Saccharomyces cerevisiae S288C: one gene and its partner. Changing the gene in region 2 together with the main gene of any one other region gives a genetic interaction. Each region holds a gene or a part of one and is shown on either strand. Other genes may lie near its edges. The genes, in order: HXT1 and ROD1.

Region 1 (4,148 bases), on a different chromosome or scaffold from region 2:
TTTTTTTTACTTGTCGTCTTTTCTTTACTGCTTCACCTCTTATCAAGCAAGTGTTTTTCGTGTCTCCCTGTGCCAGTCAGAAAATACATATGATTGGCAACTGTATATCCATTGAGATCGACTCGGTTATCTGTTAATGGAAATTATTGCTAGTAATTATAAATACCTAAAAACAACATCCTAACAGGCTTAAGTAACACTACTAGATGTTGAAGCAGCAGCGTTGTCAATTTCTATTCATTTGACATTTTTCCGAAATCATAAGCGGGCGTTTGAACTATGTATAGCGCCTATGTGGTATTAACCCATACTATATCATATAAAATTTTTCCTCGGAAGAGTGCCAGAATGAAATTTCTTGTTCCTTGGTGAAGGTCAAGAACTAGCAAAGAAAAGAACATCTGTTTATGAATTTGACAAGAATTTTGTTTTAACACCAATATAATATCACCTTTATAAAATTTACTGAGAAATTAAATACTGTATAAGTCATTAAAATATGCATATTGAGCTTGTTTAGTTTATTTCCTGCTAAACAAACTCTTGTAAAATGGTTGGTCATCATGCATTAGGTCATCAGCGTTGTAGTCAGCGCCTCTCTTGGATACTGGAACCCAGGAAGCTGATTTCCATGGTAGAACACCTTCGGCGTACATATCATTAACTTCTTCTAATGATAAACCTTTAGTTTCTGGAACGAAGAAAAAGACGTAAAAGTAAGCGAAAACCATACAGCCCATGAAAACGTAACCGTAGTAGAAGTTGATGGCACCAGTAATAAATGGGGTGAAGAAACTAATCAAGAAACCCCAGATCCAGTTAGCAGCACTGGCAATAGACATACACTTGGATTTGACTCTTAATGGGAAACATTCTGAAATAACAACGTAAGCAATTGGGGCCCAGGTAGTAGCGAAACAGAAAATGTAGAAACATGCGAAAACAATCATACAGTTACCAGCACCCTTTGAAGATGGTTGATCTTGACCGTTTGGCCATAATCTGGTAACACCAACAGAGGCATAGACAACATAACAGCAGACCATACCGACAGCACCCCACATCAAACAGTTACGACGGCCAAAACGGTCAACGGTGTACAGAGAACAACAAGTGGAGAAGAAGTTGACGACACCAAAGACAATAGAAGTTTCAAAAGAGTCACTTAAACCGACAGCCTGGAAAACAATGGTACCGTAGTAGAAGAAATAGTTATCACCAGTTAATTGTTGTAGAGATTGAATCATGATACCCATCATAGTACGTTGAAACATGGCTGGTTTACCAGTGAATAATTCGCCCCAAGATGCAGTACCAGCGGCTCTCATTTCTTCGACACTGGCTTCGATAGTTTCCAACTCATATTGAATGTATGGATGGTCAGGTGGGCATTTGTTAACTTTAGCTAAAGAAGCCCTGGCTTCGTCGATTCTGCCAGCTTCAACCAAATAACGTGGAGATTCAGGAACAAACATCATACCACCAATCATAAATAAGGCCCAGGCGAAACACAAACCTAATGGAACTCTCCATTGGACAGAGTTTGAGTAATTCTTGGTACCAAAATTGGTACAGTAACCTAAGAAAATACCTAAAGTAATCATGACTTGGTAACATGAAACCAAGGTGCCTCTCATTTCACTGGGGGCGACCTCAGATATTAGCATGGGAGATAAAACTGTGATACCACCGACACCTAAACCAGAGATAATTCTACCAATGAAATATTGGTACCACTTGTTGATCGAGGCTATTTGAATAATGATACCGATAGTGTAGATTACTACAACGACAATCAAACCGATTCTACGACCATACATATCACCTAGCTTGGCTAAGACGATACCACCAATGGCACAACCAATGTTAAAAATAGAGACAATTAAACCAGTTCTCACCTTGGACAAGTAATGACTACCGTCGTGGTGCTTCATACCAAATCTTCTTAGAAAATCAGTTTGAGCAACAAAACCAGAAATGGTACCAGTATCCCATCCAAATATGAAACCACCGAAAGCAACCATAACACAACAGATAGAAACCGTTACGTAGACACCTTTTCCGGTGTTTGGAGGGGCAACGGCGGGTTGCACTTGACTTTCACTTAAGTTGTCGTGAAAACTTTCATTTTTACCTTCTGGAGTATTCATGGCCTTTGAACGACCAGATTCCAATTCATATGAGTTGGATGAATTGGATTTCTGAGGAGATATTAGATCGGGAGTTGAATTCATGATTTTACGTATATCAACTAGTTGACGATTATGATATCTTTATAGATTTTAAGGTGGGGAAAGAACATGAGACCCCAGATGGAATTGATTATGGGGACATTGTTGCCTTTATATATAATTTCAATATACTAATTCAAATGATTAAAAACGTGAGGGGGACACGCAACTTCGGGTGTTAAGAAATATTTTGCTACATTAGATAATGGTGGAGTTTCCTGGCTTGTCGGATAAAAGCCATCAAATGTCGCAGCAGCTCATGTTTACGTTTGCTGTCTTCTGCCCACGTCATATGAGTGGTATTCTTCTATCAGCACTTGATGAATATTCTTTTTCTCATATATCTGAAAGACAAAAGATCGGCACGGCAATGCCCTGCAGCATTTCTTCCTAGTTTTTCCGAATTTCCATTACGTATTGGATCTTGTGCGCATATTTGTCAGTCCTTCACGGAAAAAAAAAAAGAGCACTGGGTCACTTCGGAAAAACTTTTGACTCAATGCAACAGTGTCATAATCCTTTGCGCTGTCTCTTTGAAGAAAAATCAGGAGTGCAAGATATCGATTAATTCCTTGGAAGTTATGATGGTTAGTCTTAGTTTAACTCTCTTGAAGAAGGGTTTTTTCAGTTGGTCAACACTCTTTAGAGGTAAAAAAAAAAAAAAAAAAAAAAAAAAGAGAATTCTTCATGTAATTTACCATGATTCTACGTTTTTGCAAGCAAAAATGAAGATAATCCGAGCGCATGCGCAAGTAGTCCCTGCCATGCCGCTTCGGAAAAACTTTCGAAACCAATACTCCTTACATCCGCCTTGAATTTAGGACCTACAATTGTTGTCTCTTCTGCTTGAACCAATAAGCCCTAGAAACCTTACACCCTAATTTGCACAAGAAAACTACGAAAAAATTTTTTCCTCTTTTTTCCGCAGCTCCAATCTCGCCCTGCTATTTTTTTGGTTCGGAGAAAAATAGTCGGTCGATATGAATTGAAGTTTCATTGTGGCCACTCGTTTAGGAATGGAATAACCTCCGCGAATGGAAAAAAAGAACTCGGAATATCAAAAATTCCGGCTCAAAGGAAAAATTTGCTTCAGGAGGGGGGAATTATATTCCAGATGAGACCTGCAAGGATTTCTGTGTGAGGTTTTCTCGGAGGAATAATAGTTTTCCAAAAATTACTTTTGGCAACTACGTGAATATAATTGACTACGGATATCCTTCGAGAAGGCCATAAAAAGAACCGTGACAGGGCCAAACAGAAAAATAATGAAGACAAGTTTGCTTTTTCTCTCACTGTATTTGAGGATCGGAAGCTTTTTGCACTGAAAATATTCTGGGTTAACAAGGTTTAAAGAAGCAAACTGCCACAAAGTATATGAGAGTATAACCGGACGGTACCTATACTTTGAAGTTGGAATAAATACGGGGTAGACAAAAAGGATGTGTTTCTGTATGTCTGATGAGAATGATGTCATCAAAGAACGTAAACAACAGTAACTGTCTATATTCTTGCTTTTTATTATGCGCTGTTACAGCAGGTAGCGGAGTTTTCAGTTCTTTCCCTAGTATGTAGTATGAAGGATAATACGGTAAAAGAACGGGGCTCTTGATTCATCATATAAATTTATTTTCCCCTGTTGAAACCTCGAGTAACCGTCCTCACTGTTTTATTACCAAGGATGAGCTCGAGCAGTTGTAAGAGAGAAGTGGGCAGAAAAGTATAAGTAACAAGAAACGATATACAAGTTCTTGTTGTTAGGCGTAGCAACCCTTTCTCCCCTGGTTTGATCCTACTTAAAATAAAGAAAAAAAACAAAAACGTCATGATGATTTTGATATTATTAGACATACGTAATTTAGTTGAATTAAAGGAATAACAGGCAGCCCTATTAACCACGGACAAAATATCTCTGCATAT
Region 2 (4,905 bases):
AATATTTTGAACTAATCAGGTCTGCCCTTCTAAAGTATTCTTTGCAAGCTAGAATTGGCAAAATGGACGGTATTTTCGTTGCATACCACAATATTTCTAAGATGTTTGGATTCCAATATCTACCTTTGGACGAATTAGATTATATAATCCATTCTTCGTATAACAGCAAATTCGACAGTTTGTTAAAGGAGAAGAATGATATCACAAAAGGGATATATGGTGAGGAGGACTACATTCTACACTATGACAGGGACGATAGGAAAATTGCTTGCTTGGTGGCTAATAGGGAATTTAAGATGTCTATGAATCTGTTCAGTAATATTTTGAAACACGTTGAGCAGTTACTTAACTCAAGTAATACGAAATGGGAAAAATGCAAAATAATGCTTAAAACCGAAGTTGAAGAAAAACGATCCAAAAGTGGCCGCTTCTTTAACGAACCGGTGCTAAATATTGTAGCCCTGCCGTTGTCACCTGAGTACGAGGATAAATCTTTATTGGTAAAGGATACTTCGAACGAACAATTAACAGAGGAGCTACTAAACCTCCGCTCATATAACGAAAATCTTTTGGAGGAACACCTGAATTCCTTAGTTGGATTTAAAGTAAATGTCAAGCATTTCTATCACCATCATCCTAATACTACACATCTACCTGATTTTGCTTTAAAAAAGAACGATATTCTCGACACCGAATCCCGTAAATATATTTCTGACATGATGAAACGAGACTGGTACAAAGATATACCATCTACACAGACTCCAAACTTTTTCCACGCTTCCGATGTTTCCACTTGGGAGGTGAACTCTACTTTTACAGATATCAATGACAAACAAATTTTACGAAAACTATACTTTAAATATTTGGATGTTAAATTAAACGCATTGAAAAATCAAGTAATCACACGTCAGGAACCTGATATGTCTAAAAAGGATGAAATTATGAATCGAATCAAATCACTACAAGCCCGCAATGATCACCGCGATAATGGAAGTAACAAAAGATATTCTAATTTTGGCCCTACCCGACTGCAAACTAAACTGCGCGCATATGCTAAAAAAGGTGCCCTTCGAAGAAAACTATTAGAAAGGAGTAACAAGTTCCATATCTAGAAGACAGTAGTCAGCGTTGGGCAATCTAATGTTATAGGTGAAGTTTTACTACTTTAATGTATTCACTCACAACTTTCGACCTTATGTAATTATTCTATGTATTTTTAGATATGTCCATACAATGCATTATTCTTGTAATTATAACACATATTAATTAAACAATGGGTCAAAAAGAGTCGAGTCCCTTGGTACATATTATGTTACATTACTGATTAAGTTGAATAAAAGCATCTAACTTTAAGGAATCTGCTTTATTTTGAAGACCGAAAACTACGAGTAAAAATAGGAGTTTTAATGCGGATGAATGTCTAACCCCAGAGATGGGTTCTCCGATAAAAACTGAGAAGCTTCCTGTTCACAGTTTTTATAAATTATTTTGTATGGCTGGGCTCTTGCAATTTTCAGCGTTTTTTTATTAAGCGAAAAAAACAGAACAGGGGTCCCCTATTCAAATATAGACGTCAAAAAGATGCAGATCTAAAACTAATTAACAACCATACAGAAATCAACGCGATTTCATCACACCATTCGCTTCTCTTCCTCCATAAGTAATAATGTTTTCATCATCATCTCGACCTTCAAAAGAGCCATTACTATTTGACATCAGACTTAGAAATTTGGACAATGATGTTTTACTGATAAAAGGCCCCCCTGATGAGGCATCTTCTGTCCTACTATCTGGAACTATAGTATTGTCAATTACTGAGCCAATTCAAATCAAGTCTTTGGCTTTGAGACTTTTTGGTAGGTTGAGACTAAATATTCCAACGGTTTTACAAACTGTTCATGGGCCGCATAAGCGATACTCAAAGTTTGAGAGAAACATATATTCTCATTTTTGGGATGATTTTAATATAAAAAGTTATTTCCAAAACTTGTACGATAATCATAATAATGGTAAAATAACAATTTCTAGTAAATCCTCAACAAATTTAGCAGCATTGCCAAAGAGAAAAAGAGCCCTTTCTACTGCATCATTGATATCAAGTAATGGGCAGACAAGCGCAAGCAAAAACTATCACACCTTAGTAAAAGGTAACTACGAATTCCCTTTCAGCGCGATTATTCCTGGGTCATTAGTGGAAAGTGTAGAAGGCCTACCAAATGCTGCCGTCACTTATGCTCTGGAAGCTACTATCGAGAGACCTAAGCAGCCCGACTTGATCTGTAAAAAACATCTAAGAGTTATTCGAACGTTAGCTATAGATGCAGTCGAGTTATCTGAAACAGTATCAGTGGATAACTCATGGCCTGAAAAAGTCGATTATACGATCTCCATTCCAACTAAGGCAATTGCCATTGGCTCTTCCACCATGATCAATATTTTAATTGTTCCTATATTAAAAGGATTGAAGTTAGGCCCTGTTAGGATCAGTTTGGTGGAAAATTCCCAGTATTGTGGTAGCTATGGAGGGGTTATCAACCAAGAAAGAATGGTGGCTAAATTAAAACTAAAAGATCCCCTGAAGCACGTTGCCCAAATAAAGAAGAAGAGGAGCCTAAATGAAGCTGCCGACGAAGGGGTTGATACGGACACAGGGGAATTTCAAGATAAATGGGAAGTTCGAGCTTTATTAAACATACCTGCAAGCCTGACTAAATGCTCCCAAGACTGTCGCATTTTATCTAATATCAAAGTCCGTCATAAGATCAAGTTCACTATAAGTTTACTCAATCCGGACGGTCATATTTCAGAATTGCGTGCGGCACTGCCTGTCCAATTATTCATTTCACCGTTTGTTCCAGTCAATGTAAAGACCTCCGATGTTATTGAAAGAACGCTCAAAACGTTTGGACCCTCATATCAAGTAACAAGTCAGCACGATAATTCATTCAGCAGCAAAAACTTTGTAGACGATAGTGAAGAAGATGTGATTTTTCAAAGATCTGCTTCTGCGTTACAATTGTCTTCAATGCCAACCATAGTATCTGGCTCTACTTTAAATATCAATAGTACTGATGCAGAGGCTACCGCAGTCGCTGACACAACTATGGTAACTAGTTTGATGGTACCTCCCAACTACGGCAATCACGTTTACGATCGAGTGTATGGCGAGGTAACTAATGAAGACGAAACTTCAGCATCAGCTTCTTCAAGTGCCGTCGAATCACAGGCAATTCACAATATTCAAAACCTATATATATCGGATAGTAACAATAGCAATAATCCTATTTTGGCACCAAATCCTCAAATCAAGATTGAAGATGATAGCCTAAATAATTGTGACTCTCGAGGGGACAGCGTTAACAATAGTAACCTGAATCTGGTTAATAGTAATCTAACAATTAGTGAAAATTGGAACAATAACTCTCCTTCTGCAAATAGATATAATAACATCATTAATGCTGGATTGAATAGTCCTTCACTGACACCAAGCTTTGCACATTTATCTAGGCGTAACTCATATAGTCGCCAAACATCTTCTACATCGCTGAAGAACGATTTGGAACTGACAGATTTAAGCAGAGTTCCCTCGTATGATAAAGCAATGAAATCTGATATGATTGGTGAGGATCTTCCACCGGCTTATCCCGAGGAAGAACTTGGAGTTCAAGAAAATAAAAAAATTGAACTAGAAAGGCCACAAATTCTTCATCACAAGTCTACATCCTCTTTGTTGCCACTTCCAGGCTCGAGCAAGAGTTCCAATAATCTGAAAAGATCGTCTAGTAGGACACATTTATCCCACTCTCCATTACCAAGGAATAATAGCGGATCCTCAGTATCATTGCAGCAGTTGGCGAGAAACAACACAGATAGTTCATTTAATCTAAATCTCTCTTTCACTTCAGCAAAAAGCAGCACAGGAAGCAGACATTTTCCGTTTAATATGACAACATCTTTCACTAGTAATTCAAGTTCCAAGAACAATTCACATTTTGATAAAACTGATTCTACATCTGACGCTAATAAGCCAAGAGAAGAGGAAAACTATACGAGCGCAACCCACAATCGAAGGTCACGCTCATCGTCAGTTCGGAGCAACAATAGCAACTCACCATTAAGACAAGGAACAGGTTCATTTGCTAATTTAATGGAGATGTTCACAAAACGGGATCGCTCATAGACTGCTTTATTTTTTGTCTTCGAAATTTCGACAAAAAGATATGAGCAATACTTCATACACGTTTGTACAGTTAAGCATATATACTTTGATAGAGTACTTTCATACCTCATACCACTTGAAAAATGATAATATAATGTTATAATACTACCTCATAATTGCTATAAAGTAAAACAATTCGGCGTTGTAGTTTATGCTTCTATAATCACAAAAAAATTTCACTGAAGTTGTCAGATTCTGCCGCAAGGCTTCTCATAGATTTTGTTAAGTGGTCTTACTCGGTTTTATGGCTTGAAGGTTAACATAATTATGAAAACTTATTGATATCCTCCCCACCCCTAACGTTTTAAAAATGATCTCGTCCAATATGTTTGAGGTGAATAATATCGGACCAGTTCTTGTTTTTAAAAGATAAGAATTGCTCATATTTCCCATACTTGTTGGAAAATTTCTCTCAACAATTGTATGAAGGCAAAATCCCTCAATTGAAACATTAAAATAGTGATTAGAAAAACAGGATTAATCAGTTATACGAACGTATTTTTGAGAGAATATAATGAGAATACAATGAGCTTCAGAAGATCTGTTTTTCTTTACTTGGCACTTCTTCCTCAACAATTATTGGCACTACAAAATTTTCTAATTAAATGTTAAAGATCCCACAGACATCATTCGTATATATCCTCCCATTTTATACGGTTAGCCAACTTTGCGATCCTACGGAAATT

Evidence for each region.
Region 1: of ROD1 (region 2) and HXT1, changing one suppresses a phenotype caused by changing the other (phenotypic suppression), as found in Saccharomyces cerevisiae (one study listed by BioGRID).

The regions. Positions count from the first base shown.
Region 1 is NC_001140.6:290,392-294,539, forward strand, and holds HXT1 (hexose transporter HXT1), read right to left. Parts: upstream 2,235-4,148; coding exon 522-2,234; downstream 1-521. UniProt on the Saccharomyces cerevisiae protein: Low-affinity glucose transporter. HXT1 is as well involved in the transport of mannose.
Region 2 is NC_001147.6:362,703-367,607, forward strand, and holds ROD1 (Rod1p), read left to right. Parts: upstream 1-1,666; coding exon 1,667-4,180; downstream 4,181-4,905. Other genes in the region: PET127 (Pet127p), read left to right, coding at 1-1,112. UniProt on the Saccharomyces cerevisiae protein: Mediates resistance to o-dinitrobenzene, calcium and zinc.